Oryzias latipes: one gene and its partner. The protein of the gene in region 1 interacts with the protein of each later gene in a pairwise test. Links are inferred from orthologs where the notes say so. Each region holds a gene or a part of one and is shown on either strand. Other genes may lie near its edges. The genes, in order: zfyve27 and fkbp8.

The links.
Region 2: the proteins of zfyve27 (region 1) and fkbp8 interact in binary tests that used the Homo sapiens proteins (3 or more experiments, as listed by UniProt). The link is inferred for Oryzias latipes from reciprocal best matches to the Homo sapiens genes ZFYVE27 and FKBP8.

Annotation. Positions count from the first base shown.
Region 1 is NC_019859.2:28,354,267-28,358,182, reverse strand, and holds the start of zfyve27 (protrudin), read left to right. Parts: upstream 1-1,582; 5' UTR 1,583-1,892; intron 1,893-3,916. UniProt on the Homo sapiens protein: Key regulator of RAB11-dependent vesicular trafficking during neurite extension through polarized membrane transport. Promotes axonal elongation and contributes to the establishment of neuronal cell polarity.
Region 2 is NC_019862.2:8,042,149-8,045,989, reverse strand, and holds the start of fkbp8 (peptidyl-prolyl cis-trans isomerase FKBP8), read left to right. Parts: upstream 1-937; 5' UTR 938-1,374; coding exon 1,375-1,406; intron 1,407-1,506; coding exon 1,507-1,757; intron 1,758-1,918; coding exon 1,919-2,088; intron 2,089-2,204; coding exon 2,205-2,293; intron 2,294-2,738; coding exon 2,739-2,959; intron 2,960-3,237; coding exon 3,238-3,410; intron 3,411-3,477; coding exon 3,478-3,555; intron 3,556-3,841. UniProt on the Homo sapiens protein: Constitutively inactive PPiase, which becomes active when bound to calmodulin and calcium. Seems to act as a chaperone for BCL2, targets it to the mitochondria and modulates its phosphorylation state.

The DNA of each region.
Region 1 (3,916 bases):
AATGTTATCATAGCGACCAGGGAGTGTTGCCGGCAGAGAGGACGTTGCTCATGTCATAATTCGTGTTTATTGTTATGTTTAGAAAATACCACAGTTTGCATGCAAGTCATATTATTTTGTTGTACTGTAGTGTCGGTCACGTGCACGTTTGGTCTGCTGTCAGAGTTCCGCAGGCTGCAGGGGTTACTGTCGGAGATGGCATCACAGAGAATTAAATCAATTCCCTTTGCCTGCTTTGGTCAAAATAGGGTTGAGCACGGTGTTTCTTTTGGCCTACGGGTCCTTTTATCTGGCAGTTATGTTGTTTCACCCTTAGTTATTTCTTCCTGTTGTGTTTACACCATGAGTGTGGGAAGGGGAGAGGATGATGACACCTGTGCGATGTACAATGTTTAACGTGTCAAAATAAAAGTGCAGAGTACGTCTTATCACGTGTCTCTGCCTTTATTGCAGAGTTGCTGCAGCATGTGTCCGCCACATGTAACATACCGGTTCGTAAGAATTTTGCCAGACATCAAACCGATCAGTGGCGCAATAAAGGTTGGGGATCACTGATGTAGACGATTGTCCTGCTCTTTATTGTTTTCTAGTACTAAAAGAGTAGGGAGAGATTTCGAACATGTACAATGGTCTATACCACTCATTGTCTGTATATAACGTGGGGCAAAAAAAGCATTTAGTCAGCCAGCAATTGTGCAAGATCTCCCACTTAAACAGATGAGAGAGGCCTGTAATTTTAATCGTAGGTAAACCTTAACTATGAGAGACAAAATGAGGGGGGAAAAGAATCAGAAAAATCCCATTGTCTGGACACAGCTGGGTGTGACTTCACCCATAGAAAATACCTTACTTCCAGCTCCAGTGAAATGAAGACAATTCAGTTGCCATTTTTCCGCGATACGGGTGTCCTCATTTGGAGCCAGTTGACCGTGATTGGTCCGAATTGGTCTGAGTCCAAATTTATAGGGCCACTGCTGTCACCAATCAGAAGTAAGCTCATTTGAAGTCCACACCTGTTCCACTAAAAGTGGCTCAGGAGAATCTATCAATCAAATGTCCGAGGTGGGGCTAGCGGGCACCAAATGGTTTTACTGAGGCATCTGATTGGTTAGTTTAAAACTTGAATAACTGACGTTAAAGAAAAAAATATCCTGAAAAAATGTGATGTTCCATACCTCCACAGGTATATCTTCAGGACCAAGTGCCTTTCTATTCTTTATTTTCTTCAATGACCCCTCTCACTTCACCCCATTAATCTTTTTTAATTCCTGCTCCACAACAGTCACCTCTTTTATTCTTTCTCAACTCTTCCAAGTATTCTTCCCATCTTTCCATTACACTACTGACACCTGTCAATACATTACCATCCTTATCCTTACTCACCCTATCCTGCTGTCCTCCTCTCGGTCTCTGCCTTAGAATGACTGAACATTAGCTGTTTATTTCTCAATAGACGTCTAGGGGATTTTGGCTTCTAGGAGGCAGCGGGTACTTTCTATTTGGAACGCGAGGGAAGAGGGGTCAGTCTGAGTCTGTCTCGACACACTGTGTTCCCACTGCCCGGTCGAGGCGCTCTAGGATCGTCTCATTTGGGCTCCGCCCATGAATGTCATCAGCTGTTTAGCCTGGACCAAACCGGAAGCGAGTGTTCGGGAAAAGCTTGCGCTGAGTCGAAAAATCTCCCTAAAGTAAATTGCTGGTTTAGTCCCCGCGCATGCGGTGCTCTGTGCTGCTTCCGGGTTTCAAGGGGGAGTCTGCGGTCATGTCGTTTCTGCGGGTCCTCTGCTCCCGCCGCGCAGCTGGGGCCGTCGGGACTCGCTAGCTTAGCCTGCGCTACTACTTCTATACCCCCCGCATCTTAACGTGTCTGGGTTGGACCCCTTCTGCTCTGGGTAAGAGACCCCCTTCATCTTCAGCTCATGAAGTCGCAGTTTGAGTGAACAGGGATTCACGAAAGCAGAAAATGAAACAGGAAGTACCAGTGCTCTGGGCACGGAAACTTCCTGATTTGCGTCGAATATGGAAAACACTCCTGTGCCAGTCACACACACAGGGACACACACACTTTCTCGTACACATTCTGTGGGAGCAGAATATCAACGAACCCTTAGTTTGGAAAATGTTTTTACCCAGTGTTGCCAGAGAGTCATGGTTTTCCAGCCCAAAAAAGTCATCTTAAAAACTGCAAGACCCCACAAAAACAGCTCTAGTAGAAATGTTAATCAGTGATTAACTAGCCTGAAAGTGTGGAAAGTGGTATGAATATTAACCAACATGCAAACGCATATCTCACATCAGAATTGTTTTTTCTAAAAATAGCAGGTTCATATTGGGCCATAGAAGAATGTAAAATGTATGTATATAGCGGTTCAGTCTCCCACCTGAATGTTACAGACAACCCATAACATAGACACAGTATGGAGAATGTACGCTCTCTCACAAACACACTAAACTTGCACATGGGTCTAACCTTCACTGGTAAATGAAGTCCACACACTTCTCCCTCTAGACAAAATTCTCTGTGACTTTGGCATAAAAGCTGTCCTTATCGTCTTCTAGTTTTATTAATCTCTTAGTGTCAATGAAGTGTTGGTTTATCTGTTACTTCCCATTTTGACTGAAAGTCCAACTCTGATATTTTTTTAATCATATAACATTTGCCATTTTTACAGTCAATCAGAGCAAAGCATTAAATAATTCACTTCTATTTACTCATCTTCTGATCTCTTTTAAAAGTGTTCCTAGTGGTCTCTCAACTAAGATTCTACAGTTTTTAGCTAAAATCAAAAAGCCTATCTTTTTCTAGGACATAGTTTCTGTAGAGTGCCAGTAGTTCATTAAAAATTCACTTCTGATCTGTGGGTGGGAATGTTGTTGCAGAGTAAGCCCGAGCCCACTTTCCTCTGTTTACACGGTCTCCCAATAGCTCACAGCCCCTCACACCCCCAACCTAACAACAAAGATGTCAAACAATGTTGGAGCTATCCAGCTGTGCAGTTCTGAGCCAGATGCCAGCTCAAACGAGGAAAAAGAAGAATGCGTGGATTTATTTGTCTGCTAGTGGATGTGGGCAGCTGATCGTTGCTGCTGCGTCCAAACTACAAACTTTTTTAAACAGTGTTTTTTTTGTCTGATCCTGATTCGCTAGAATTTAAATTAAATAATAATCACATATGCAGTTTTGGCTTATTTTTTTGTTTAAGTCCTCCATCTTTAGAAAAAATGCCACAAGAACGCATTAAAAATGCCAAAAAACATCATTTTTATCAGTGGGTCTTTACTGCTAAAGTAGAATAGAATATCTTTATTTCTATAGCACTTTTCCCAGAGCAAGTCACAAAGTGCTTTACAAAGAGCATAAAATCATATCAACACACAAAAAAGTGATAAAATACAATAATAATAATAGTAAAACAAAACACAGTAAAACGTGGTAAAACTAGGACTAAATCAACTAAAAGCTCTCCTGAATTAAAACGTCTTGACCTAAGATTTAAAACACTCAACGGAGTCGATCTGACGCAACGACAATTGGAGGGAGTTCCAAAGACGAGGAGCAACAGCTTGAAATGACAGATCTCCTCTGGTCTTAAAGCGGGTTTTTGGAATGCTTAAAAGATTCTGGTTGGAAGACCTCAAGGATCGGGCCGGAGAGTATGGGGTTAAAAGGTCAGAGAAGTACGTCAGAGCTTGACCATGCAAGGCTCTAAAAAATTAAAGTAGAATTTTAAAATCAATTCGAAATTTGAGCGGTAACCAATGTAAAGCAGACAACAGAGGAGTGATGTGTGTCCGTTTACTTGTTCCTGTTAAAAGCCTTGCTGCAGAGTTTTGGACAAGCTGAAGGGAACGTTTGTTAAAACAGGTAAAAAAGAGAGTTACAGTAATCTAAACGAGAGGAAATAAAAGCATGGAT
Region 2 (3,841 bases), on another chromosome or scaffold:
TCTCGCGGCCCACAAAAAATGACATGGTAGGCCACATTTGCCCCCTGGGCCTTAAGTTTGACACATGTGGTCTAGAGTGAAGTAAAGAAATGTCTTTTGGGCTCATGACACCAAAAATACTTCCGAGTTCTTCCTTTGCTTAAAGTGAAAACTGCTAATAAGCAAAGTTTCCCGGACATTCTTGTTAAAAAATGTCCAATCGGCAGCACATCGGAGGCAGAAACAACACAGAGATCGTTTAAGCTTTAAAAGTAAAAATGTGTGAGGAAATCCAGGAAGAATCACTCACAGCTTTGATGACTAAACTTGCGTTTTCATCTTTCGCTATTCTTTGGTCACATTTGGATTTATGTGACACCAAAATCAGTTGAAATGTGTTTTATAGTTTACAGTCCAGAATGCAGCTGCTTCTTTTTCACAGGAACCAGAAAACATGAAGACATCAGAGATTTTACATTTCACCACCATCTGAAAGAATTTACAGGACTGACCAACAAGCAGTTCTCTGTTTTTCAAAGTAAAAGTTCTGTGCCAGCCACTGATTCTTTTACCACCCTTCAATCAGTGAAACACATTTATCAGTAAAACTCCTTTATTCATTTCAAATTTTTGTTTTTAACTAGTAACAATGTTTAAGTACATTATTTATTGTGTTTTTCTATCTTTGAAACTTATTTGGGCGAACTTGTCTGGTTCTTCGGTTCATCAAATGTTTAATAATGATTGGAACTGTGTGACATCAGGATCTAAAGCATAACAGATCTTTCTGCTCTAAAAGGTTCGCGTTTTCGTGGTGAAGGATGTTCTCCGTCGTTTCATGAGTGAGCACAGGGTGTTTTTTAATGGAACCATTAAGGGGGCTTTTAATCTGAAAGCAGAGAAAAGCTTCTTGAAACATTAAAGCGATGCAGAGTGCTGCTGCGCATGCGCGAGGATCTACCGCTGTGACGAAGTCAGCCTGAGTGTCCACTGTGGCCCTTCCCGTTGGCGCCGTGCGCTCTAGACTTTTCTATTCGCAGTCTAACTTCCTGCGTGAGCTTGAAGGATCGGGACGCGGCTGTTGGACCAAAACAAGGCTGGAGGTGAATGTTCGCGTTCTAATTTACAATTTTAAGAACTTTTCTGTGTGTGTTCCTTCGTTTGGAAGTGATTCTAATCGACGACTTCGTTTTGTCAAAATGTCAGTGTCACTAAAAACTCTTAGTTTGATGGATGCAAATAAGCTAAGCCGCTGGCTCATAGCTAGCTAACCCAGCCACCTTCAGCTAACGCTAGCATTAGCATGTAGGTTTTGACCGAGAAACCTCGTTACTTTTTAAAAACCCACGGAAACGTCAGGTTTTCTGAAGTTTGGAGTAAAACTGTCTGCATGCAATGTTGGGGAACTGTAACGGATATCCTGGTCGGTACGTTAACGTCAGATTCTGCTGTTTGAAGAGCTTTTCTGTGAAGCTCAGAGATAAGCGAACAGAAAACGAGCTTCCTCAGTTTGACTGTCTTCTCCAGAATGGAGACCGTGGAAGCTGCAGACGGCCGCGAAAACGCTTCTTCTTCTGCCAGAAAGAGCGGACAAACGTCGTTGCTGGACAGCGGAGAAGACTTCGAGGTTGTGGATGAAGAGGACTTTGATGAGGAGCCTCCTCCTTTAGAAGATGCGGGAGGTGGGATGGAGAAAAGTTCAGATGAGACGGCGAAGAGGTCTCCACATGAAGAACCAGAGGCTCCGGCTCAGCTGGATGAGTGGTTGGATGTGTTGGGTGAGTCTGGCACTTGTTTGGCCTCTTCCCGCTGATGTTTCTTGGAAGAGAGAACAGTTCTTCATTTGTCTTTTGAATCTGACAGGTTCTGGAAGTAGTTGTGAGTTCCAAACAAGCATTTGGTGGTAGTTCTTGACAAGCCAACAGTTCTCTCTCTGCAGGAAATGGCCAGCTGAAGAAAAAAGTCACGGCGCCCGGGAAGGGACGAGCCAGTCGGCCTCAGAAGGGTCAGAACGTACGGATCCACCTTAAAGCTAGCCTGATCGATGGGACTCTGGTGGAGGAGCAACCTAACTTCTCCTTCACTTTGGGAGATTGTGATGTTATCCAGGTAAACCCTTAGTGGTGATATATGTCAGGGTTAGCCCCAACGCTCAAAATTACGTCTGCAGGTCTTGTTTTGTGGATTTGTCTCCGGTCAAACGTCAGTCAACACTTTTCTTCCAGGCTCTGGATCTGACGGTCCAGCTTATGGAAATGGGAGAAAAGGCTCTGATCCAGTCAGATCCTAAATATGCATATGGAGACAGAGGAAGGTGGGAGATAAGCTACTCTACATCAAACGCTGCAAATTGGTGATATAGAGAATTTTAACCATCCTTTAGAAAGATGGTAGCAGAGCCCAGAGTCTGAGGAGCCTCCAAATGAAATACTTTTTATTTTACTCACAGGTGGTTTAGTAAGTGGGAGGGGCTTTTTGACACACGTGGTCAAAAAAGTCTTGACATGTCTCACATTTACATAAACTTGGGTCAATAAGACCTTAAAAAGCAAACATTTGTCTTTAATTCAAGAGAATCTGTGTCTTTTCCTGACATGGGGGTAAAGGAAAGGAATCACTGGGAAATAAACTGTATGGATCCCTGGAGATTCACAGAAACAGACTGACTATGCCATCCTTTTTTTTTTGTTGGGGGGGGGGGGCGCTGCTGTTTTTGCTTCAGTCACTAAACCTGCCTGTTTTTTTTTTTCTCGTGTCAGTCTTGAACCTCGTGTTCCTCCAAACGCTCAGCTGTCCTTGGAAGTGGAACTCCTGGAGGCCACTGATGCCCCCGATGTGGAGCTGCTGCCCCCCGCAGAAAAGATTGCCCTCGCCAGTCGTAAACGAGAGAGGGGCAACGTCCATTACCAGCGTGGAGACTATGCGTTTGCAGTCAACTCCTACAGCATCGCCCTGCAGATAGCAGAGTCCAGTTCCAAAGGTGAGACCTTCATGACGCCGTCCCGCTTTCCCGGCAATGAAAGCTCCTCCCCCTGATCATCTTGCGGTGACTGATCAGTAACTGCAACTTTAAACCAAACAATGACGTGAAAATCAAAGCCCTGCAGATGTGAATGAGTCTTCAGTGGATCTTTTTAGCTTTTTTGCTCTGATCTTAGATTGAGATTTATTTCAAACATGTGAAGCAATACAAAATAATAATAATAATACATATAAAAAGAAGGAAGTTTGATATTGTCGTTGTGTTTTGTGGGACAGTGGACATCCGGCCGGAGGAGGAGGACGAGCTGCTGGATGTGAGAGTGAAGTGTCTGAACAACATGGCCGCCTCTCAGCTGAAGCTGGACCATTACGATGCTGCTCTGAAGTCTTGCGTTTCAGCTCTTGAGCATCAGCCAGACAACATAAAGGCACTTTTTCGCATGGGCAAGGTTGGCCTCAGTCCCGGAGCTTCTTGCTGCTGCTGAATGTCTGCTAAATGGTTGTTCTTTCCTCTAGGTTCTCTCTTTGAAAGGTGAATACACAGAAGCTATTCAGACCCTGAGGAAAGCACTGAAGCTGGATCCCAGCAACAAGGTCATTGAACTGTTTTCTCTTGGCAGATTGTCATTTTTACATTTGGCCAGTAGGTGGTGCCACAACCTAGACTATGGGTTGCAGCAGGCCACGTGGTCTGCTGAGTCAACATATGTGGAGATCTGTTTTCATGTTGCTGCTGAAAATAGGTTCACCCTAAGGCTGGGCTAATGCCAAGCCAGTGTTTGCTTCTGCTTCTGCACTGGTTAAATGTGGTTCTGCAGCCATACATGGACACAGCCGGTTCCAGTGTGTAGGCTTCCTGGACCAGCTGAGGCCCAGAACC